Arabidopsis thaliana: one gene and its partners. The protein of the gene in region 1 interacts with the protein of each later gene in a pairwise test. Each region holds a gene or a part of one and is shown in the gene's direction. Other genes may lie near its edges. The genes, in order: MYB112, CUC2, WRKY38 and CRF11.

What was found.
Region 2: the proteins of MYB112 (region 1) and CUC2 interact in a two-hybrid assay, tested with the Arabidopsis thaliana proteins (one large-scale study listed by BioGRID).
Region 3: the proteins of MYB112 (region 1) and WRKY38 interact in a two-hybrid assay, tested with the Arabidopsis thaliana proteins (one large-scale study listed by BioGRID).
Region 4: the proteins of MYB112 (region 1) and CRF11 interact in a two-hybrid assay, tested with the Arabidopsis thaliana proteins (one large-scale study listed by BioGRID).

What each region holds. Positions count from the first base shown.
Region 1 is NC_003070.9:17,702,571-17,709,318, reverse strand, and holds MYB112 (myb domain protein 112), read left to right. Parts: upstream 1-2,858; 5' UTR 2,859-2,941; coding exon 2,942-3,134; intron 3,135-3,972; coding exon 3,973-4,102; intron 4,103-4,641; coding exon 4,642-5,050; 3' UTR 5,051-5,187; downstream 5,188-6,748.
Region 2 is NC_003076.8:21,900,345-21,906,807, reverse strand, and holds CUC2 (NAC (No Apical Meristem) domain transcriptional regulator superfamily protein), read left to right. Parts: upstream 1-2,953; 5' UTR 2,954-3,012; coding exon 3,013-3,202; intron 3,203-3,282; coding exon 3,283-3,566; intron 3,567-4,188; coding exon 4,189-4,842; 3' UTR 4,843-5,104; downstream 5,105-6,463.
Region 3 is NC_003076.8:7,493,996-7,499,893, reverse strand, and holds WRKY38 (WRKY DNA-binding protein 38), read left to right. Parts: upstream 1-2,903; 5' UTR 2,904-3,186; coding exon 3,187-3,452; intron 3,453-3,595; coding exon 3,596-3,718; intron 3,719-3,805; coding exon 3,806-4,286; 3' UTR 4,287-4,439; downstream 4,440-5,898. UniProt on the Arabidopsis thaliana protein: Transcription factor. Interacts specifically with the W box (5'-(T)TGAC[CT]-3'), a frequently occurring elicitor-responsive cis-acting element.
Region 4 is NC_003074.8:9,472,650-9,479,173, forward strand, and holds CRF11 (Integrase-type DNA-binding superfamily protein), read left to right. Parts: upstream 1-2,762; 5' UTR 2,763-3,169; exon of another isoform or gene 3,170-3,269; 5' UTR 3,270-3,402; coding exon 3,403-4,401; 3' UTR 4,402-4,941; downstream 4,942-6,524.

The sequences.
Region 1 (6,748 bases):
TACCTTACTATAGTACATAATTAAACAAGTTTGACCAAAAATCAATATGTTGATATTTACTTTCAAGTGTAGATATGGTTAAATGTGGTCCATATAAATCTCACAACAATTCTCATGTAACAAGAAACATAATCTTCATATTAAAATCATAAAATAAATTTGGTTGTTATGTAAAAACAATTATTTATTGGTTCTGTTAGTAATGCTTTTACTATAAAATTTCAGAAAGTAAGGTTAGTAATAATTCTTCATTCTGTTTTATGTTCTTTAAGTCGACTCCTAAAACTAAAAAACTTAATCTTCTTGGTGTAACAAAGTTTTTGATCAACTATGCGTCACGAAATTTCTTAAACATAAGCATGCAATTCAAATCACTCGTTAAAAGCACGACTGATCCTCATTCATAAAAAATTATACCGAATATTCAGAACTTTCTATTATTGCACTTACCAATTTTGATGCCGCCCTCAAAGCTTTGGCAACAAAGGACAATGTCACCTTAAATGTTAAGAGTCTCAGCAGCGATAACCGATGAAGACACATGTAAAGACGATTTGTCAAGTGTTATATCTAGTCCACAATTTTAAAAGAAGATTTCTAATATGAAAATCTGTCGGCCATAGTTTTGGTTATTTCTAAAATATTACCTAAACATAATAAAATATTATAAATCGATATATTGTTTTATGGATTAAAGAAAAAAAAAACAAATTTCCTTTTCATTATTTTGTCAAAACTGTATAACATGGCAAAAGGTATGGCAAAGAAAACTATCAAAAACGATAAAACCATGGCAAATACTCCACTAATAACATATCAATCATAGGTAATGCAATTTTGTTTTCTCTTTTTTTTTTAACTACGTATAATGGTGTTAAAACTTTTTTTGTTTTTTTTTTTTGGAAAACTTTTGACCTAGTGTAAAGTTTGGCAAAAATGGTTTGATCTAAAACTAGTTTCATCGAGATTTTACATTTTGTAGAACTCTGATTCGGCTTTAATGAGTTTATGGTTAGAGACATGGGTTAGGTTAAGCTTTACTCGATTTAGAGTTTTGAGGTTCGCTGCATCTTGCTTTCATGCTATCAAAGCATTTTTATATTGTTACATTCTCTTGAGTCTTTTTTTTGTTTTGTAATCCTTTTCTATTTCTAATTAAAAAAACTAAAATTTATAGCTAAAACCATTAAAAAAAAGTAACCAAGAGTTCCGAAACTAAAGAAAACCCAAAAAAGTTAGTAACTTCAAAAAATTTAACTAGTTTCTTTCATCAATCTGTATTTATATATGTTCTAACTTTTTTTATCAAAACCAAACCGAATCTAAACCGTAAGTCAAAATAAATTAAACCAAAATTGCATCAAATTGAAATCATGACTAAAAATTACTCCTTTTGTCCCTTTTTATTGATTTTCTAGAAACAATCACAGATTAAGTAAACATATTGATTTAATTTTTGTGATTTAATTTTTTAATAATTCTAAACTAATGATATTCAATTATTTGTCTTGAAGTTTAAAATTCATCAATAATAACTAATAAATAGTGCATAGAAACCTAAAAAATCAATCTTTTTGAAACAATTTTGTTTCTCTAAAAATCAATTAATAAAGAATAGGGGGAGTATTATTTTTGAAGTATACTTTAAAAAACACCTTTATTTTGATAAATATTAACAGAGAATGTCATTACTTATATTCATGTATTCAAATAACTTTACTATTAATTTTTATTATCCGTATAACCAAATCAATTGATTGTTTTTAACATTAACTATAAAATTTGAAATATACATATAATGTTCCAAAATTAGTAATACATATTAAAAGATTGTGTTAAGAATTAAAATAATGATTCGCAATCATCTTTGTTTGATTTTGTTTTCTATTTGTTTTGAATCATCATATAAAGTTAATAATAAACTATTTTCTACCTATATTCTGATTCAAAATTTTAGAATTAGACATATATATTACTTAAATAATAAAAAAGTGTGTTCAACGTCTCAATTTCACATGGGCTAAAATGTTTAGAAAATGATTAAGAGTCATGTTATAAATAAATCTAAATCTAAATAAACAAGAAGTTTAACTTAACAAGTATCTAAATTTAAAAGTTTGTATATGGTTTAATTCTGTTTTTAATTGAACTGTTTAATTTTACTGGATATAGTAAATTTTAAGCTTTGAAAGTTTTGAAATATTATAATTGATATATTTAAACTCAGTATAAAGTTTAAAATAAAATGAATATATATAAAAGTCTAAAATAACGCAGTACATGTTATATTTTGAGACTGGGTATATGAAAAATGAGTTTAAATCGACATTAAAAAAATTAAAAGTATCATTAACCGACATTATAATACGGTGAAATTCTCATTTTATTATTTGATTAACATCACTAATATTAAATATGTAGAATTACACTAATTTAGTTAAGATTATGTGAAAACAAAATTGTCCCGTGTTATATTGAGGGTTAAATTCTAGTTTGGTTTAATAAAAGGAAACCTGAATCAAAACTAAACAAAATTATATACTACAGAAAAAAGGGTTTGTTGCATCAACTAAATTATATCGATAAATAAATGATGTTAATTTAAATTACTTCTTCGGTTACTTTTACTTACTTGATAGCTTATCCAACTCTTAACTATAGCATGTGCTTAAGGAGAAACTAAGAACTCTTATACTATTACTTAGAAATTATTATTTTGCGAAAATTCCACTAATATCTTCGGGTAATAATTTATCTATTAACATGCCGATTTCAAATGCTTGGTATTTATTTATAATATATACAAAACAAAACAAAAAAAAATCTATAAAACCCACCCTGAAAACTCGATCACTTTATGTCCATTCCGAGAACTCTCTCCCTCATTAATTAAAATCTTTCTCAGAGCAATCTTCTCACAAGTTTCTAAGAATCTCAAAGCATGAATATAAGTAGAACAGAATTCGCAAACTGTAAAACCCTTATAAATCATAAAGAAGAAGTCGAAGAAGTCGAGAAAAAGATGGAAATAGAAATAAGGAGAGGTCCATGGACTGTGGAAGAAGACATGAAGCTCGTCAGTTACATTTCTCTTCACGGTGAAGGAAGATGGAACTCCCTCTCTCGTTCTGCTGGTAACTTCTTAAGCCTTTTGCATATATATATACAGAATATGTGATCATGCATGATATATAATATGTAATGCGTAAATCGATCGATTCAGATCAATTGAAGTCATCATAACAAATCCTTATATGCCCATATCATATCTCTAGAGTGATTGTTAAACTATCATTGATTTGAATGGTTAAAGTTTGGTATTGAAGGATTCTTTATATGTCAAACAAGTAGTCCGTTTTTGTTTTTTAAACATTTAGACTGAAACTTTTTTTTTTCTTATTAGAAATTCGTTTTGGATTTTGTGGATTTTAATATGATCATGTGAAGTTTAGTTTAGAGTTTATTTATAACTAACTGAAATTAAATGGAGTAGATATAAAAACTCGTCCACATCTTATCAATATGTTATTCAATTTCTATCACATCATATGTGAGTGATATACATATATGAATGTGATTTTTCGTAACTATGAGAATACTTTTCTTATGGCTGTGACTTCTCCATGTCGGCATAATTTAAATTCCTCTGTAGAATTGGTAAAGTAAGAAAGAACAAGTTGACATATTCATAGTTCATTATTATCATTAAAAGTGTACTTTCGTATGAAACAGTTTGGTCGGTCCAAATTTATTTATTTTTTCCTTTGGAGTTCTTTTCATATTAGCCTTTTGAGTGTGGAACTCAAACACCTTTCCCAACCATCCAATTCCATACAGCCTCATGGAATTGTTATCTTTATTGATTTGGGAAATTGTACTAGTGTCCATATACTATTGACTAGTGTACATTCCAGTTAATTCATGTTTTTATACTAATTGTATTTATATTGAAATCATTTACTATTGAGACAGGACTGAATAGAACGGGGAAAAGTTGCAGATTGCGGTGGCTAAATTATCTCCGGCCGGATATCCGCCGTGGAGACATATCCCTTCAAGAACAATTTATCATCCTTGAACTCCATTCTCGTTGGGGAAATCGGTATGAAACCTTTATTTATATCGACATAGACATAGTCATATTGTCGATACATTACTTAAAATAGAAAAAGGGACACATATCGTTGAAGAGAGCAAATTTGGAACGTCTCTATGAAATAAATAACTCGTTATTCAATATTGTATTAGTAGATAATTGACAAAATCAATTTGATGCGTATTTGAAATTTCTTGGTTGAATTGTGGTTACTATATGAAACTTGTATCATAGTTGAAATTAAGGTACACATCAACGTCTTTTTTTATCAGAGTAACACTAAAAAAACTGATTAATCTAGTACTACAATAGAACTTATAAATAATTAAACCCTCCGATTCATTATAAATAATATTTTTAGCAAGAGTCGGTTTTAACAAAAACAATTAATATACGTACAAAAAGTATATTAGAAATTTAATATATTTTTTGTATGTATAAATGATTCTAATAAAAAACGGAATGAGAGTTTAATTACGATGTTCTATAAAATTAATCGTGTTTTTAATAATGGAGTTAGTTTTGATATTTTTTCTATTGTGAAGGTGGTCAAAGATTGCTCAACATTTACCGGGAAGAACAGATAACGAGATAAAGAATTATTGGAGAACACGTGTTCAAAAGCATGCAAAACTTCTAAAATGTGACGTGAACAGCAAGCAATTCAAAGACACCATCAAACATCTCTGGATGCCTCGTCTCATCGAGAGAATCGCCGCCACTCAAAGTGTCCAATTTACCTCTAACCACTACTCGCCTGAGAACTCCAGCGTCGCCACCGCCACGTCATCAACGTCGTCGTCTGAGGCTGTGAGATCGAGTTTCTACGGTGGTGATCAGGTGGAATTTGGAACGTTGGATCATATGACAAATGGTGGTTATTGGTTCAACGGCGGAGATACGTTTGAAACTTTGTGTAGTTTTGACGAGCTCAACAAGTGGCTCATACAGTAGGCATTTCATGGGTTTATTAATGAATGTAATGTATAATAAACATAAACTAATCATTCAAAACAAAATTAAAGGTTTTCCGGGTTTTTTTCCATTTTTTTATTGGTTTAATTTTATTGTGATGTATGATTTTACAAAACAAAAAAAAAACTGCTTAATTAATAATATCAAAAACATATATATTGTTACACAGAAGCATGATTTAGATAAGACTATAAGAGCAAAGAAGAGAAAAACAACAACATGAGTTTAGCAAAAAGTTTATGTGGTTCCTGGTTCATTTAATAACTCCCATACGATCACTTATAATCTACCATATATGATCATCAATTAAGTTTTATAATATCACCGCATTATTAAAAACATTATGAGTATTTGATAACATATCCCAAAGAAATTCATTACATACTTATTTAACTAATGGGTTGAAATAGAGATTGATGCATGATGTGTATATGAAGTGAACATCAAATAATTATTTTACTCTAAATAAATTATTAATTTGGATTTGGCCCTCTCATCTAAACTCAGAGTTGAAGTGTTCATGAAATCTTGCATGCTCGAGACAATGAGACATATTGCTTAGAGCACTTAAAGATGGTATCAACTCTTAAAAATATGCAAGTAAAATTTCGTCGTCTCAAATATCATTTTTTAAAAATAAAAAAAAAACTTTAGTTACATACATGTTGAATTCTCTAAATCGGTTATGTAGTTTGTGGTGCTATTATTGTTTTGGAAATTTCTAGTTTGTAGGGCCTATATTTTCTTGTTTGGCTAACCAATAATATCGTTAGTTTCATTTAAAATCACATATTAATTTAGTTTGTATAATCATTAATAGTTTAACTAAAAGAAAAGGACGTGAATGATGTCTCCAATTCCTAATCATGATTAAGATACTATTAGTTACTCCAACTCATGTAACACTTTATCGAGATTATATACGTCCAGAGGGGACGAACCCAAATAAGTTACTCTAGTTAAACTTTTAAATAAATTATTTCTCAGTGTTTTTTTCCACTACGTCGAGTAAGGAGGATCACAGATTCACCCGAACCCTATTTTATAATCAAAGTATTAATTGTTTTATTTGTTAGAATATATTAAATTAATCATCGAACACGTCTATAGACTAAATGGAAACAATCCAAAAATATCAAACAATGCATGGTCGATTTTTATTCTAAACTTATCTTTTCAATATTCTCTTTATAAGAAAAAAGCAGAACAATAGTAATTGAATTGGAGTGAAAAAAGGAATGAATTGGCATTACAATTTTGTAAATGGAATACTGGCCTTTCACACACGAATATCTTTGCTTTGTTGGATTATAGAATCATTGATTTTGGCTTTGATAACTATATTATATATTGACGTTGATTGTTGTATGTTGATTGTTGAGAACAGATTGTTAATTTTAGATAATAATTTAGATATCTACGAGAAAAGATAAGGACACGTGTGAACATTTAACACGTGCGCTTGTTGCTTTTAGAAGGCCGGGAAAGAGAGAAGTGGCAATGGCGGCTGTAATGGGAATCCGAGAGAAGGTGGCGCATGAGAAGCAACCCGAAAGTGGTCCCAGTTCGACACATGTACGCTCCATCTGTCACGTGTCTTTTCTTTTTTATTTCTTTAGCATCCTCTAGAAAATAGGAGTATCTTTTTTTATAGTGGCTCTCGTTTCTTCGATTATT
Region 2 (6,463 bases), on another chromosome or scaffold:
GTTTCTTACACAATTGCCTTTAATCTAAATATATATCATAAATTAAGATATTTACAGTATACAATTATTTATACATTACAGAAAACAGAGTCCATGTAGCCATATAATGCTATATTAACTGCTCTTCTCCTTACCTACTCTTCGACTGCTTGAGCTTGACCATCGAGATAACAAATAATTTGGTTTTTGTTTTGGGAAAGTCTATCTGAAGTAAGATCCTCTTTCGAACCATAAAAATTACAAATATGTATTATCAAAAAAATGTTGACCACAAAAAGAAATTAAACATAGATTGGGCTATTAGTTTACTCAAGTGAGTAGGTCACAAGGGAATATCTACTGTTTCTTAATACTGTGTTAACCTCCTGCATTTATAATGCTATCATTATTTATTTTATTGGGTTCTCTTACGTCAAATAGTTTATTATTGGCATTTGTTCATTTGCTTTTTGCAGTTATTAAAAAAAGATGATATGCGGTATTACCAAACATTTTAGAAAATAAATAAAAGTTTTGTAATAAATGATTGATAAAACAACAACGAATTTTATGGTAGGACATATGTTTTTCTGTAGAGAAAAACAAATCCATTTTGGTGTTCGAAAGCAGCCATAAATTTCAGATCAATAGAAAAATATAAACAATTTGGAAAAGAAATTGAAAAATAAAATAAAGAGGATGATATGTATATAGAATATCAAACACTCTACTATTGTGTTAATTAATCAAAAGGGGATAAATGTGGTATTTAAAGTGTCAAAAATATAGCATAAATGGAATGAAGGTGATAGAAAGTAGGGAGTGTGCATTTTAACCTTGAAAAAGTACGGATATTAGATATTTAAAGTCATAAGAATATTTTTCTCGTTATGAAAAAAATGCTAAGCAAACAAACAAATTAACCGTGAAAAATATATGTTTAAATTAAGATAAAGTAAAGCAAATTTCTAAAATTTGGCAAGGTCAATATCAACATTGTAATCTGTTTGGCCATTGTTTTCAGTTTAAGACAATTAACACTTTGGCACACTAGAATGTATTCAAAACTTCATAAATTCAAGTAATTACAATTATATAATGTTATTGCTTCGGTTCATAGCTTGGTGATAATCTTTTACTTCAACTATCTGTAATTAAGACAGGAAAGGATCTTATTAATTAGATTTAGTTACTGTCATATGCAGATATGTCTAAAAAGACGTATAGATAGACCTACAATTTCTAGATAGTAATAAATACTACTATTAAACAGTAGTAGCAGGTGTAATAGTCTTAGCATGTCTCTGATAATGATTTTTAATGTATAATTATTACTTTGCATACTTTATAACATCTTCTTTTTTTTAACTAATAGTTACACACATGATAAGTCCGTAGATATGAATACTCGAAGGGGAGAGTTATTTTGATTTAAGTTTATACAATTTTTTCATACGGTTAAAATAGTCAATAAGTCTGTAGTTAATTTATTAGTAGAAATTGATCAACTCACTATCTTTTTAGTTTGATCTTAAGGTCTTTACATTTTTGGGTGTGTCTTTTATTCTTTAGTTTATTCTTTAGTACATTTTTGGGTGGGAAATTTTAAAAAACAAGTCATGTCAAATAGGGCTAAAATTGAAGTTCCACTAAAATAAATAATTTGTATGAGATAATAATCAAAATATTGGAAGTAACAGAAATAAATTAACAATTGTGAAATTTACGTTTAGTCATGTCATTTTGGTGGACCTGTAACAATCAACATAATTGATAATTAGTTATTTGATGAGCCATAATTAATTTATATAAAAAAGGAGAAAAAACAGACTTGAGATAGTAATTAAGAAAACTACAAAACCAGGCAGCATAAATATCTTCTCTGATTTGCAACCTGTAACTTCTTGATTAAATTATTTTTCAATCTTACATCATAAATCTCGTTGCTTGAAAATAATGAAATTTAATTTTCTTTTGCTGAGTCTTACAAATGAATATGAAGCAATGAAAAGTAACTAAAAATCCATCACAGGAGTAAAAAATTGGAAAATGGAAAAGATGAAACAAAAACGAAAAGAAAATCAAGGAAAAAAAAAAGAGAGGTGAAAGGTGTAGAAGGTGGTGGCGTGTAGTAACGAAGTCTCTGTCAAAGTTTTTGATAAATTAATCATGTACTGTGCTGACACTCCAAGATTTGAAACAGCCTTATCGATATAATATCCATTTTTCTATTAAAAATAAAAATTGAAACTCTTCACTTTCCAAATAACTAGTGTATATGTCTAATAATGTATCCCTCACTATACTACTATTGTTTCGATTAGTCATTGTACGTATAATAAATTATTATGTATCCCAATTTCCAAACACAATAATAAAAAGAAATTTCAAGTTCGTAGATAAAAAAAAAGATACAATCTGAATCCTCTCTTTTATTTTCATCACTGACAGAGAATACCACTGCACTTTTTCTCATGCACGCACGCATACTCAGATAGAAACAAGAGCCCATTCCTCGTTTCTTTAATAATTTAATTCAAAGAAATACGGACACTTCATGATTAATTTTAATTTTGTAATTTTAAAACAATCTCGAGTTATGTAAAAAATATATCGATAAACTCAAAAATGTGATGTAATAATCTGCTTTGGCTTTGCTCTCTTTACTACAAGACAAGGCAGAGAAAACCACAGATTCCTATGAAAGAGTAGACGTACCTGTCTTTTTATTATTACTAAATTTATAATTATCTTCTCTACGACTTTCTGGTTTTTAATCTTTTAATAATTATTTTACTTTCACTACCCCAAAAAAAAAGCTTCCCTCTATTTCGCCGTTTTAGATTTACCAAATCCCAATGTATAAAAAAAATAAACTAATAAAACCAAAAAATAATATCCATCCACATTATTACCACGCCCCTTACTCAAGAACCATCCATTATATTAACCTATTTATCTTCTTCTTCAAAACATTTGAGTCTCCTTAGGGTTTTTTCTCTCTCAAACAAAAGCTTTAGATCTTTCTTCTTAATGGACATTCCGTATTACCACTACGACCATGGCGGAGACAGCCAATATCTTCCACCGGGTTTCAGGTTTCATCCCACGGACGAAGAGCTCATCACTCATTACCTTCTCCGCAAAGTCCTCGACGGTTGCTTCTCAAGCCGTGCCATCGCAGAAGTTGATCTCAACAAGTGTGAGCCTTGGCAACTTCCCGGTAAGAAAATACAAAACTAACTTACTTGTAGTTCTTTTGTAATTAAGGTTTCTGAAATCTTTACTCTCAATGTTACTTAGGGAGAGCTAAGATGGGAGAGAAAGAATGGTACTTCTTTAGCCTCCGTGACCGGAAGTATCCGACGGGACTGAGAACTAACAGAGCAACTGAGGCTGGTTACTGGAAAGCTACCGGAAAAGACAGAGAGATCTTTAGTTCAAAGACTTGTGCACTTGTTGGGATGAAGAAGACTCTTGTCTTTTACAAAGGAAGAGCTCCGAAAGGAGAGAAGAGTAATTGGGTTATGCATGAATATCGTCTTGAAGGCAAATTCTCTTACCATTTCATCTCAAGAAGCTCCAAGGTACTTCGATTTAACCTTTCATTAGTTATTTTGTTGATAAAGTAAAGCCTTAATTTTCTTTGATTAATAAATTTACAATCTATTATTTGGAAAAAAAATTCGAGAGTGTGACATAGTCGGTGACGTTGATTTTTTTCTCTTTTGCTTTATTGCATTTAATTTTGATGGCTGAAAAGGCATGGTTCTTTACTGTGGTTATCTGAGAGCATTATGGAACATGAAATAGAAAAGATCTGCTGTTTTTATGTATTGGGATTTCAATCATAATGGTGTTTTCCTAAAGTAAGAAAACATTCAATAGCTCTGATAAAATAAAATATTAATACATCCTACTTTTGGAAAGCTTAATGCAAAAAACCAGAACCAATGCAAATCTTCAGGATTTTTTTCTGACCTAGATATATTAAAAAGAAATTTAATTAAATTAATTTTACTTAATTAGTGTTCCATATCCATTGTAGACTTGTAGTGTCCAATGTACATTCCCTCTGTGCACGCTTTTACTCTATGGTTTTTCTTAATCTTCACTCTCTTTTATTTCCAAGATCTAACATTGACTTTCTCATCAAACATATATTATATAAAATATTTGACTTTTCAAAACTCTAATTTATTCCTTCAGGATGAATGGGTGATCTCTAGGGTTTTCCAGAAAACCACTTTAGCTAGCACCGGAGCCGTCTCCGAAGGAGGAGGAGGAGGAGGAGCAACTGTGAGCGTAAGCAGCGGTACTGGTCCATCTAAAAAGACGAAAGTACCCTCAACAATCTCAAGAAACTATCAAGAACAACCAAGCTCTCCTTCCTCCGTCTCACTCCCACCTCTCCTGGATCCGACCACTACCCTCGGCTACACCGACAGCAGTTGCTCCTACGACAGCCGTAGCACCAACACAACCGTCACAGCCAGCGCAATAACCGAGCACGTGTCCTGTTTCTCCACTGTCCCTACTACTACTACGGCCTTGGGCTTAGACGTTAACTCATTCAGCCGTCTTCCACCGCCGCTAGGGTTTGACTTTGACCCTTTTCCTCGTTTCGTTTCTAGAAACGTCTCGACTCAATCTAACTTCAGATCGTTCCAAGAAAACTTCAATCAATTTCCTTACTTTGGATCGTCTTCTGCATCGACTATGACCTCCGCCGTTAATCTGCCTTCTTTCCAAGGCGGCGGAGGCGTCTCCGGGATGAATTACTGGCTACCGGCGACTGCCGAAGAGAATGAGTCAAAGGTCGGTGTGCTTCATGCTGGACTTGACTGTATTTGGAACTACTGATCACAAAAGAGGTGACTTATAATTGTTCCCGTTAGGGTTTTATTTATGTATTTCTAGGATGATTATGGTATTATGAAATGTGTGTACCGAGGAGCTTAATATTGCACTTAGCTTGATGTTCCGCTTAATTCTCTAGTTTTAAGTTTATCCGGTTGTGTTAATTAGGAGGTAATATGCAAGGAAAATGTTTTCTAGACTATGAACGTGCATATGTATAAGCTATGCTCGTTTTTGTAATGTTTGACATTATGTTAATTTCATGGCTTTTTCATGTTTTATATTTCTCATGATATTTGACATGTGTCCTTGGTTATCAATACAATCATACAGTATATTACCGACAAAATGAATTTCTTCGGTCGCTTCTAGATACCTTAGTTTTCTTCTTGTTAATACAATTTGATATGGCGGTTATATATATGTTTCCGGAATTCAACCGTTCCGAATCTTCGGTTAGATGATTTCCGTAATTACATAACATGGCTAATTATTTAATTTCTTCATCAATTGAAGATGCTCAAATGTAAAACATGCATGTAGTTTTTGTTTATTAATTCTAGCTAATTAAGGTTGACATGTGTAACTGCCAAAATATTTCAAGAAAGTTTCATGCTTTTAAAGTAAGTACTCATAATTCAGTGGATTAATCAGTCTATGAACACCATTTTCAGTTAGGTGTATCTTCTTGCTACAATCGTACACATATGAGACTAAACACAACAATTTGCGTTTGGCTTAATTGATTAAGATAACATGCATGTACATGGTAGTTACTGAAAATAATTTACATACTAATTTTGATTAACTTAATGCATTGTAAACCCACCAAAGAAAAGAAGTAGTTTTGAAATTAAGGATTTTGAAACGGGGATGATGAATATGATGCGCATGCTGACGAACGGACCACTCCCAAATTCAGATCTTGTACAACAGTCCACCTCACTTTCAGAAGGATGGCTTTCACATTTCTATTTTTAGAAAGAGACATAATTAATAATACCTCTGTTTATTACCATTATATATGTGTTTTCATTTCACGTGTGTATACTAGTAGGAGTATGATATATGTATGTGTGTAACACAACCATCATCATCATCATCATCATTACCATCATCAATTATTGCTCTTGTTGCATCACCAACCTATACTACCTAGTCATAAGACAAATTCACAGACTCACATATACGTCTTGCTAAATGGCAAAATTTCATGATGTTTTAGCTAAAGGAATATATGTACACATTTGTATGCTTATTATTTTGGGTTTCATTGGTTACATTTGCAATCACAAAACAAACTAAGGCAAATGGTATTGGTTCAAAAAACATTGACCAACATATATATATATATATATATAAGAAAAAACCCAGCTATTTACACAAAAGAACAGCTAAGTGATGATAAGAACTGACTAATTTTATCACACTATGTATATATAAAAAAGCAGAAAATTCAGCTGGCCTGACTTAAAAAATAAAAATCTTAAACCAAAAGTTACTATATTTTATTATTATTATCAGCTTCAATAACTACAACATTTAAATTTTACTTGCTTTTCTAAAAGATGTCTGATTTTTTGCCCCAAAAACAAATGTCTGATTTTGTACGTCATTACGCCCA
Region 3 (5,898 bases), on another chromosome or scaffold:
TATTTTTTGTCAAAGTATTAACATATTTGCCATGACTTTTTTGTTGATTAGAGGATAAACTATCAAGAGGGTAATAAAAACTGGTATGTGCGTTGCAAACTATAGAGCCAAGTTGTGAGATAGGTCTTCTGGATGAGATCAGAGTGTTTCGATGCCTATGTCTTCGTCTTCAAGAGTTGATCGGGTGGCCGTTCCGACCTACTGTACTGTCATGATACGAGGTATATTTTTGTTATATATAAAAACAACGATAACCTTTAGAAGTCATTAAAAGAACAATGACTAATAGGTCTTTATTTTGTTGGGCTTACTTAATTTTGAGTTGTGACAACTATACTTTCCAGCCCATTTGTTTTTTCATTAGAAAAATGTTTTGCTACTTTGCATTTTACAAACCCACAATGAAAAAGAAGGTAGCTGGATCATGTGTTTTTTTTTCTACAAGTCTGTTGAAAGGTGGTTCAAGGAAACCGTAGTCCACTAACTATCCTTAGTTAGTTTTGAGTTCACTCAACCTGAGTCTTCATTTGCAAAAATTGACTATCAATAACCGACTCCGATTATAACAAAGTTCAAGCATTTCAAATGGCCTTATTGAAAGGGCGAAACAATTTCCTGTCATCCTGGTCTAATAAAATCCTTAATTATATAACCAAAAAGCGATATATTGTCTCAATGTTGTTGCTAATTATTTTCTTTCTAGGATGTAGCCTGTCCTTTTGTATAGATAAATGTGGTTAAGAAATTTAAGTTGGGGAGGTCATCTATTAGTTAAGTAGGAAAAATGTAAGATCACGAGCAAGCACGATGGATCTTTTTTTTCCTTATTTGGAAAAATCAGGACGTCAAAAGTATATATTTGACTAAAGCTGGAAGCACGAATCCAAAGATAAATATCTTGAATTGAAAAGTCCTGAAGAAGTTAATATAAAGATAAGTTTTAAAGTTCTGTAGGATTATTGAAAATGGGGAATTTTGTTGAAGTCGTCGTCAGATTAAAGAAGACATGGAAGCTACGTTCCAACTACTTGGTTTAATTAGCTAATAAATAAAATTATTAAAAAAATGTATCACCATTATTGTCATGTAAGTCATGTTCACATTCACTTTCCTTTCGCACCATAAAATAATGTGACTTGACCCATAGCTTTGCTTGACTTGTACATATGTGACCCCTTACTCAATATAGTACTAATACCTATACAATATTTAACAATTTGCTAATAACAAGAACAAAATACATGTGGGCAACGTTTCACAGATCAGATCAAAGTCACGTGCGAAAGTTTATATATATATATATATATATATATATATATATATATATCTCTTATGTGTTGATATCTATCAATTTACATTAACCACCCGCAGAAGAAGATAGGGTTGTTAAATTGATGGGTAGATAGAACTTAACATTCTTTACAAACTTTGTAATTTGTTGTATAGTTTCATGAATGGTGTTAATTCATGGCCTGAAAATACCATCGATGTATACAATCTGATAAGGATAAATTGTTTTGGATTGACCATCTATTAGTTTTAAAATATGATTGTATAACTTGGATTGGTTAGCTTTCAGATTATACTATATATTCAAAACAAGCTTTTGTACGTATATTATATCATTTTATCCGCTTAAAATGTAATTACTAATTTTTCTTTCATATAAGATTCAAGTTTACCTAAAGAAAAAGGATTCAAGATTACCAGTTATCTTTTGCAAAGCTTATTAATTATAAATTCTTAAAATTTTAGATTAAATTAAAATATGGACCGAGTAGCCAACGAATGAATCTCACATCACGGCATAGTTGACTAGTTGTTGTTAGTATATAATATAATCAACATTGCTGCTTCGTTCTGACGTCAATCTGCTGAATCAGCCCCTTCAACAAAAACTACGTCATGGGGCTGACGTCGAGTGTCCGACGAAACTAATGCCGTTTTCATTGGTGCATTAGTCGCCACTCGCCAGCTACATCGCAATTATTTCTCTCTTTAAGCGTTGAAAAATTGTCTAGATCTTACTTGTTAATGTTATTCTATTACCTAATAATTATCTTTTGTCTGGTCTAAATACTTACATTTTTATTTAAAATCTGAACCAAAACTCACCAAAAAATTAGATAATTTTACCATTAAAGATATCCACGACTAGTGGAGTATTTTCATTACAAAAAAATGAATTGATCATATCATATGTGTTCGAAGCTTATTATATTGAGCAAAAAAACATTATTTGTACACGTTTCATCTTTGATGAGGTAAACATTGCGATGGACGTGTAAAATATGTTATACTTTTTTTTTTTGTGAACATCCAATCTATTACATACATTTGTTTTTTTTTGTCATATGAACGTAAAATATATTATTTTCAAAACTCTATATTATTAGTTACCGTATAAATTATAATTAAAACCACCTATCAAAATATTAAATAAAAAATATTTAACGATATACAATCAACAAAATTAAGCAAACAAATTTATTCTTAAATTTCATCTGCTATATATTTTCAAAAAAAAAATAAAAAAAATTGCGACACATATTGAAATGGAAAGATTACAAAAGAAAATTTTAAAATCATTGCTAATTTGGGGTTTATCATAGCTCATATCTCTCTCTAATATATCTGACTTTGTAGAACACAGTTTTCTATTAGATTCCTCCTATCTTGAAACCTTTTAGTGTTCTGAAAGGAGTAGTTTTTAATTTTTAATCTTTAATTATTAAGCGAACCGCGTAGATTAGTGTAATAAGAGAAACAGATAAATTCTGAAACAATTAAAAACAGATTGTATATAATTAAGTGAGCCGCGTACTGGGAAAGGTATATAAAATAAACTCTGTTTCCTATACATCATGACAGATCATATGCTAATGTCAACACCTAATCTATCTTTTTGTCTCTCTTTATTTAGATTCACGCATATAAGTCTAGCAGAGCACATGTCCTATATCGAAATTATAATTTATCATTGGCTTCTTAAAATATAACCTAGTGTATGTAAATTATATTTGGTAAACCCAAATTGGCAAAGTCATTTGGGAACGTGTATGTACGACTAGTCCTATAAATTCTGATCTCCCTATCCGTTCAAAAGTTTATAGCACAGAGAAGAGACTTGAGAAAAAGAAAACAAACAAGAAACACATACACACACACACAAGTTCACTATACTCTATGGAAATGAACTCCCCACACGAAAAGGCGGTGCAAGCTATCCGTTATGGCCATAGCTGCGCCATGCGGTTGAAGAGGCGGCTCAACCATCCAATGGCTGATGGTGGACCGCTTTCAAGTTATGATCTTGCTAAATCGATCGTTGAAAGTTTTTCCAATGCCATTTCAATCTTATCTGCTAAACCAGAAACCGAAGATGATCAGTTTTCTGATTTATCTTCTAGGGATTCTTCTCCTCCTCCACAGGGGAGCCCCTCCAAGAAAAGGTATACACTTATGAGTTTGTTTTCTTTTTTGAGTTTGTTTTTGTTTTTCCAAATGAAACCACAATTCTTAATATAAGTATTTTTTTTCTTAGGAGTATATGTTGATTTTAATGCTAATATTTTGATAATACTCATGTTTGCAGAAAGATTGATAGTACAAATTCAAGTGAGAATTGGAGGGACGATTCACCGGATCCGATTTACTACGACGGGTATCTTTGGAGGAAATATGGTCAAAAGAGTATAAAAAAATCTAATCACCAAAGGTAAGAAATAGTATAGCTAATCATATTTCATCATAATTATTTCTATCCCGATCACTCATACTAATTGGTGTATGATGATGGTAACAGGAGTTACTATAGATGTTCTTACAACAAAGATCATAACTGCGAAGCAAGAAAGCATGAACAAAAGATCAAAGACAATCCTCCGGTTTACCGAACCACTTACTTTGGCCACCACACTTGCAAAACCGAACATAATCTAGATGCCATTTTTATTGCCGGACAAGATCCCCTAGATGACTTTAAAAGTACCCAAATGATCCGATTCGGAAAAGATCAGGATCAGGAGAAGGAAAGCCGCTCGAACGGTTTCTCCTTATCGGTTAAGCATGAAGAAGATATCATCAAAGAGCAAGCTATAGATCAGTACCGTGAGATAACCAGTAATGACCAAGATTGTCAAGATGTTATAGAAGAATATCTATCATCACCATCAGGCTCTTATCCTCCTTCATCGTCATCTGGCAGTGAAAGTGCTGACTTTAATTCTGATTTGTTATTTGACAACCCAGACTCGTGGGATCGTTATGATCAGTTTTACTTTTGATTGCACTAGATTTTTCAGCTAAAACTATTTAATAATGTTTTCCTTTTTATGAGATTGTATATATTTGAGAATTGTGACTATTTAAGTATTTATGTTATTGATTAGATAATCCGAGAACAATATTTATATTCACCCCTAAGAGTTTATTTCCGGCCAATAAAACTCTATCATCTAATAAATAAATTAAAAATTCATTTGATTATAAAATATAAATTTCAACCACTTTTTGTGTAAACCTAAATCGATCTATAATCTCGTTTAATTATAAAATCTAAACTCTCATTCATCTTTAAAAGCTCAAAACCGACATTTTAACCTTGTTTAATTGTAAAATATAAATTCTAACCATTCTTTCTAATCCCAAACTCACATTTAACCTCGTTTAATTGTAAAATCTAAATATGTTTATAAACCAAACCCAACATTTAATTTGACCTCGTTTATTTACAAACTAAACCATAATTCTCCTTTACAAACTCATACCAACATTTAACCTCGTTTAGTTTTAACGTCTATAATCCTAACCATTTTTTCTAAACCCAAATTGATATATTTAACCTCGTTTAAAAATGTAAAATGTAAACCTTTTTATAAACTCATACCAACAATTAACCTCATCTAGTTGAAAAAAATCTAAACTCGTTTATAAACTCAAACCTATATTTTATCTTGTTTAATTATTAAATTTTAATCTTAACTATTTTCTTATAAACTCAAACTAATATATAACTGTTTTTGGTGGCAAATTAATTTTTATAATTTAATATTTTTAATTAAGTGGTATATTATGATTAGCAAAATAAAATAGGGTGAATAACAAAGTTTAAATTCCTGAGGGTGAACCGGATTTGAACCGAAGTATTTTTCATATTTGGAGCAGAAGTAGAATATGTAAAACCGGATTTGTTTGAGAAAATGTAATATTTACAAGGGTTTGATTTTTCTTGCTATTGGCCGAAGCACACACATCTTCTTGCGTTCGGTCTATTCAAAATGATTAATAGAAAATGAAGCTTGACACATTGAAAGGATAAAGAAACTAGAAAACATTATATGCTAATTATGAAACGATTTGCTTGATACCAAAAAAGAAACGATTTGCTTAAAAACATAGAATCTTACATAAATGAATAGATTACATACACCATTACGTCAACTCGTGATGTTCTGCCTCGAAGGTCATGTTTAATTTTGATGAGTGGAACTATTTGTGGAAGTCTATTTTGTATATTTTTAACCTTTTCACACATGCATTAAACGTGTATAAAATCATAATATTTTTATACGTAGATTCTATTTATGAAAGTAATTACAAGGACTGTTTAAGCAAGCCTGAAGCCTCTATAGCTTATAGATATTTTTACTGATAAACAATATAAGTTTAACTCTTTAGGTGAATAAGCTAAGCTAATGATGACAAAACTGAAATTACATTATGTTTCAAGTCTGTTTTTGGATTATATAAAACGACATTATTTACAAATGATATTCTACGAGCATGAGACCACCTATTGATGACGTCAATATTCTTTATGTAACCTAAGAACATTTCCATTGCATTATTTTTATAAGTGTCTTAACATAATTTTTAAAAAGAAATATCAATATTGAA
Region 4 (6,524 bases), on another chromosome or scaffold:
ATGGTCGTCGTCGATGGCTGCATTATTTATGAATGTATTAGTCCACATGGTGAAATGTCTACATTTTAAACACCACGTGACACTGATAATCCGACACTTGTATGTGTGAAATCAATGTAATGATCCCTTACTCTTTCTTTTTTGTTTTTCTTTCAATAGAACAAAAATATTGCGAATTTATCTAATAATGTTTCTGTAATACTAAAATTATTTTAAAAGTTTTTATTTAATATATTGTTAATTTGTCTAAATTTTGTCACGACCGTTTTTCTTCATGAATAGTCTTTGACGTAGTTGAACATCCATTTTGTATACACTGTTATAAATTTGCACACATTTTGTGTTTCAACAATTTTTAAAAAGTATATATGTAGTGTACAACTTTACTTTATTATTGCTTTACTTTTTTTTTGTCTATTGTCGTTGAAAAATGACATCAAATGAATCTGTTGCCTTCCTTACGTAGGAAACGTTTTGTTGAAATAGTAATAATTAGTAAGGGTCATTGTATATTGGTGGAGAAAATGTTTTTCTTACTTCTGTAATTGCATCGTCTTTTCTTCACGTAGGGTAGGCAATCACATGCATTCAGGCGTGCGTTCACTGTTTTCTTTTTTCTTCTAGCTTTTTGTTTTCCTACTATATTGTTGCAGAAAAATGTTTAGTTTAAACTAAATTAATTATCCAACTCTTTAAAGTGGCAATCTTGTAAATAAAAAGGGGAGTAGGTCTGGACCAATGTGGCAATGCGAGCGATATGTTAAAAAAGCTGTGGAATAAACAAAATTTTGGAAATTAGGAGTTCCTTTCGTTTTATGGAATTGAAAGAAAATGACACTTTCAATATTTTTTTGGTATTTCTTTAGTAAAAAATGTTTTAAATTTTTAATCGATCGAATCGTAATGAACCTTACAAAAAAATCATAAAATTTGAAGTTGATATATAAATTTTAATCTAGAGATGTTAACTTTTTGGATTAATCTGGAAGCGACCTGTTTTAAGTTGTTTCAAAACTATTAGGACCGAAACCAAATAGAATCGAGCAAAAAATGTTAGAAATTTTTATTTTATTTTGTGTTCTTTAGGTTAACCAAATGTTCGTTCATGGTGTAAGATATCAAATAATGGATGAGCTTAACCTCTAAAATACAAGTTTAAATTGATCGGTTCAAATCGGACCGAACTTAAATGATTTTGCAAGTTATTAGAGTGATCATGATCATGTTATGTTACGGAATATTACAGAGTAACTTAACTTAAGCACTGACTTAGTTGACCCAAAAAGAGACCATTGACTTCATGAAATGCTTGAGTGTGGAAAAAATAAAACAGAGTTATTCAAAAACGTTTTGAGTTGTGAATTATTCTCATTAACATTGTATTTATTTGGTGCACAAAAAAAAAAAAAAAAAAAATTGTATTTATTTATACCCACTAAAGATGGGAAGAAGACTTGTAAATTATGATGAAAAGTCCCTCGGTTGGTAGCAACTAGCAAATGTGGGGATGGAACAATCCTCCACGTTCGAAATTGTTCTTCTTTAGCACAATCAAGATACTGCAAAGTAAACTACCTCTAATGTAATTAATTAACCTCACAAATTGTTATGTTAATTAATGGTATTGAATTATACTCGTCGATCTTTTGTAAGATATTTTTGTTGAATGCCGAAAAAATTATCAGAATCTATAATTGATGTTTTTGTTTAAGAGTCAATTTGGGAGAATGAGTTAAATTACTATAGAATACAAGTATACATCACATCAAATAATATGAATAATTCACTAAACAATGAAGGAGTAGTTACTAGTCACTCTCTTTTATTTATTTTTAATTAAAAAACGAATATATATGTTATTGTAGTTTAATACTATTAATAAAATAAAATTCTATTACTTCACTTAGCTAAAAGACCCACAGTGCAGTAACAGTGAGAAGTAAATTTCATGAATAATGTATTACAATACAATAATAACTTGTTCGATACAAAGTATTATTCCTTTCACAAACTAAATTTATTTACCATATATCCATAATATAATTCCAAAAATAGTATGTTTTATTACCATATTGTAAAAGGGAAAAATGTCATTTAAATCATCACTTTACCATTTTCGTTGGTTTAAAACATAAACTCTCGATTTGGTGATTTAAATCCTCAATTTTATGTTGACGTTTAATTTAATCACGAATTCTCGTTAACTAAGCCAATTAAGACACATCGTTAAAAAATTTTCTAATTAAAATTTTTGAGTTTTTCTCTATTTTTCTTCAGAATCTCTTATCTTCTTTGGAATTTCTCTTCTTATTCGAATTCAAAGTAATCTTTCATCTTTAGGTCGATTGACGATACCGGGAAAAAAAATTGTGTCTCAATTGGCTTAGTCAACGAGAATTTGTAATTAAATTGAAAATCAACATCAAATTAAGAATTTAATTCACAAGATCCAAAATTCATACTTTAAACCAACGAAAATGATAAAGTGATAATTTAAAAAACATTTTCCTTATCCCTATTGTAAAACTATTTTCACCAATCTTAACCGAAAAAATGAAATAAAACTGTCCAAAAAAAAAAAACCAAATGCTAATAAAAAACGAATTTAATTTCCCATCTTCGTTTTTTTTCTTTCTTTTAATGCTTTAATAAATTTTTATTGAGATCTGTGTTTGAACAATCGTTTCTTAAAAGATTTTTAACATCTTTTTAAATTCCTCGGTCTCTTAAATTTACCAGTTACATAACTTTCTTTTATTTTTCCGACATAAATTAAAAGTTTTGTCTTTGGTAATAGAGAGGCAGAAAAATCTTGGCCATAGATTTGTCATCTGTTTTCGATTCGTTTTGATTCTTTACTTTATCTTCTTCTTCTTCTTCTTCTTCCTCTTTTTGAATCTTTTATCTTCTCACTTTTCTTTTTCACTTTTGGGAAGCTCGAAGAGCTGAGAGGAGTGTGAGAGAGAAAAGGATCTTTGAAGTCGCCGGAATAATTTGTTTAACCGGAGCTCTGTCTTTGACTCTACGCTTCTCTCTCTTCTTCTTCCTTCTTCGTCTTCTTAATCGCTTTCTGCTCTGTTTTTCTCGTTCATCAAGCTACATCTACTAGCTCTCTCAGTGATTGATTTCTCACAGTTTCATCGATTTCCATGCGTTTAAGACCTAAAAGGTAACTGGGTTTGCTAAAGTTTGTTACTTTGAATGGTTTTTATAGTTTCTCTGTTCGAATCTGAAGTGGGTTGTTGTGTTTTTGCTGGTTATTGAAACAGGACTTGTTCTGGGGTAAAGGACTTTTCTTGTTCTTGAGAGAGTTCATTTTGAGGCTTTTCTGGGAATTTTGAGAGGTTTTTTAGGGTTTAAGGGGGTTTGGTTTTGAATTTCGCACACCAAGTGTTCGATAAAATGGCTGAACGAAAGAAACGCTCTTCTATTCAAACCAATAAACCCAACAAAAAACCCATGAAGAAGAAACCTTTTCAGCTAAATCACCTCCCAGGTTTATCTGAAGATTTGAAGACTATGAGAAAACTCCGTTTCGTTGTGAATGATCCTTACGCTACTGACTACTCATCAAGCGAAGAAGAAGAAAGGAGTCAGAGAAGGAAACGTTATGTCTGTGAGATCGATCTTCCTTTCGCTCAAGCTGCTACTCAAGCAGAATCTGAAAGCTCATATTGTCAGGAGAGTAACAATAATGGTGTAAGCAAGACTAAAATCTCAGCTTGTAGCAAAAAGGTTTTACGCAGCAAAGCATCTCCGGTCGTTGGACGTTCTTCTACTACTGTCTCGAAGCCTGTTGGTGTTAGGCAGAGGAAATGGGGTAAATGGGCTGCTGAGATTAGACATCCAATCACCAAAGTAAGAACTTGGTTGGGTACTTACGAGACGCTTGAACAAGCAGCTGATGCTTATGCTACCAAGAAGCTTGAGTTTGATGCTCTGGCTGCAGCCACTTCTGCTGCTTCCTCTGTTTTGTCAAATGAGTCTGGTTCTATGATCTCAGCCTCAGGGTCAAGCATTGATCTTGACAAGAAGCTAGTTGATTCGACTCTTGATCAACAAGCTGGTGAATCGAAGAAAGCGAGTTTTGATTTCGACTTTGCAGATCTACAGATTCCTGAAATGGGTTGCTTCATTGATGACTCATTCATCCCAAATGCTTGTGAGCTTGATTTTCTCTTAACAGAAGAGAACAACAACCAAATGTTGGATGATTACTGTGGCATAGATGATCTGGACATCATTGGTCTTGAATGTGACGGTCCAAGCGAACTTCCAGACTATGATTTCTCAGATGTGGAGATCGATCTTGGTCTCATTGGAACCACCATTGACAAGTATGCTTTCGTTGATCATATCGCAACAACTACTCCCACTCCTCTTAATATCGCGTGCCCATAAGTTTTGCAGCTAGGTGTTATTATTAGCTATAGGAGCAACGTAAAAAGCTCGTTGTTACTCGGTTTTGTCTTAAGTTATTAAAGTATAGCAGAGGCAGTTAATCTCAAGGGAAGCAAAAACCCTAAAGATAGAAGCAGATGCAGTTTTGTGTGTTGGTGTTACTAAAGAAAGTTTTGTTGACATAATGGTTTTGATGTTGTGGAGAAGATAGAGAGGTGTGATCGAAATTGTAAATCTCAGGTGGTTTTTTTTGAAGGCAATTGTTTCTCATTTAGGGTTTTTTTCTATATGAGGATTGTCTTTGAAAAGCCTTTAGATGTTTTCTAATTCGTAAGCTCTCTCAATCTTTGTAAGTTTTGCCTGTTGAGTTATTGATACATATGTGAGACCTACTTTATTTGTTTTGTGCTACATACATTGTTGATGGTTTCGTCCTCTGCTCTTGTTAAGTCATTGTTACCAATGTTTGATTGCTGTTTCTTTCGGGTTGATTCAGTCAGACATGAAGATAACTAGATAAACCGTTTGTTCTCTGCAATCACTACCTATAGAGTTAGGGTTTAGGCTTATCCTCTTTTTGCATTATATCAGTAAAGTTTTCTTTAAAAGTTATGTGAACAAAAACACATAATGCAAGATAGAGAGGTTAATGGGTTTGGTTGATGATAACAGTAGGACAAATTATCACCGCTCTAATTGCGTTGGTTCTTAAACCATTTCTTTTATAATATTTAATATTTGATCTAATTTTCTTAAAGCAACCTTTGCGTATATTACAAGTCTTGCCAAAATTTTCAACTAGTTCCATCTTTGATATAAAGAGTATATAGTGGTGTGTTCTTTTGTGTCAAGCCATCTCTCAACTTCAGACTGTAGCTGCTTTTGGATTTTATTAGTTTCGTTTTAGTGAACAGAATTATGGATATACATTGAATTGAACGTGCATATTCATTTTGTTTTTGTTTTTTCAACAAATTAAAATGAATTCTAAGATGTTTTTGTTTTTTTGTTAATTGAATTCTTAAGATGTTGACAGAAAATAAATTGAAGTCTTAAGAATAATTGATTTGAGATTTTAAGACTTGTACTTTTCTTTGGAGATTGGAGATTTGACATGCTCGAAGTCGATGTATACAATTTGGTTTTTTATCAAGTGTCATTCTCATTCGATGGAGCTTTTTTTTTATCAAAAACGTGGAAATTAGTGATTTCTAATGATCTGAAATAAAAATTGGGTTTACTTCCATGGTTTTTTTTTGGACAAAGGGGTTTACTTACGATCAAGCAATCAATTACATAGTTATTCTGGATTAGTCATTTGGTAATATTTAGCATCTTATGAAGAATCTTAAACACGTCCATTATACAACTAAATATGTTGCACCATTTGATGGAAAAAAAATATGTTGCACCAAAAAAATGATCCAAGATGTTGAAACTTGAAAGAAAAAATCGAATAATAATAACAAATAGGCTTTCTGGCTTTCTATGTTACTGAAAGGCCCAATGCACGTAAACGGAGAGCCCACATTACAAATTAATAATTTTTGTTGGGCTAGTGAGACCATAACGCTATCATACGTTGTAAATCTGTACAGCAAGTTAACAATTACAATAATAATCAGATTTTACACTCTTTTATAGATAAGTCATGGTCAAGACTCAAGAGTCAAGAGTCAAGACCAACAATCAATGGCCTAGCTTGTACAACAAAAGACTTAAGGCTATATAGTTTTAATCAATTAGAGTCACATAATTCACAAATATCAACGATTATACAACGGTTGTTATTGAGTAGTTAAAACATGGTTGATATAGATTAGTGAGAAAATATTGATTGGTTGACAATATATGAAAGTGAAATTATCAAAATGATATTATACATAAGTTTTTAAAATATATCCAAACTCATTTTTATTATAATTAGAAACTTTTTAAAAAATATAGACCGTATGTGATCTATTTTTATGAAACTTAATAACAAAATTTATTTGAAAATATTAGATTGTAAAAAAATAATTATTCATTCTGTAGTTTCCGGTTAAAAAATGTGCAGAAAGATGAGTTTTTAGTTTGTGGGTTCAGTAACATTATAAGCTAATATTTTTTTATTAGTTGATTAC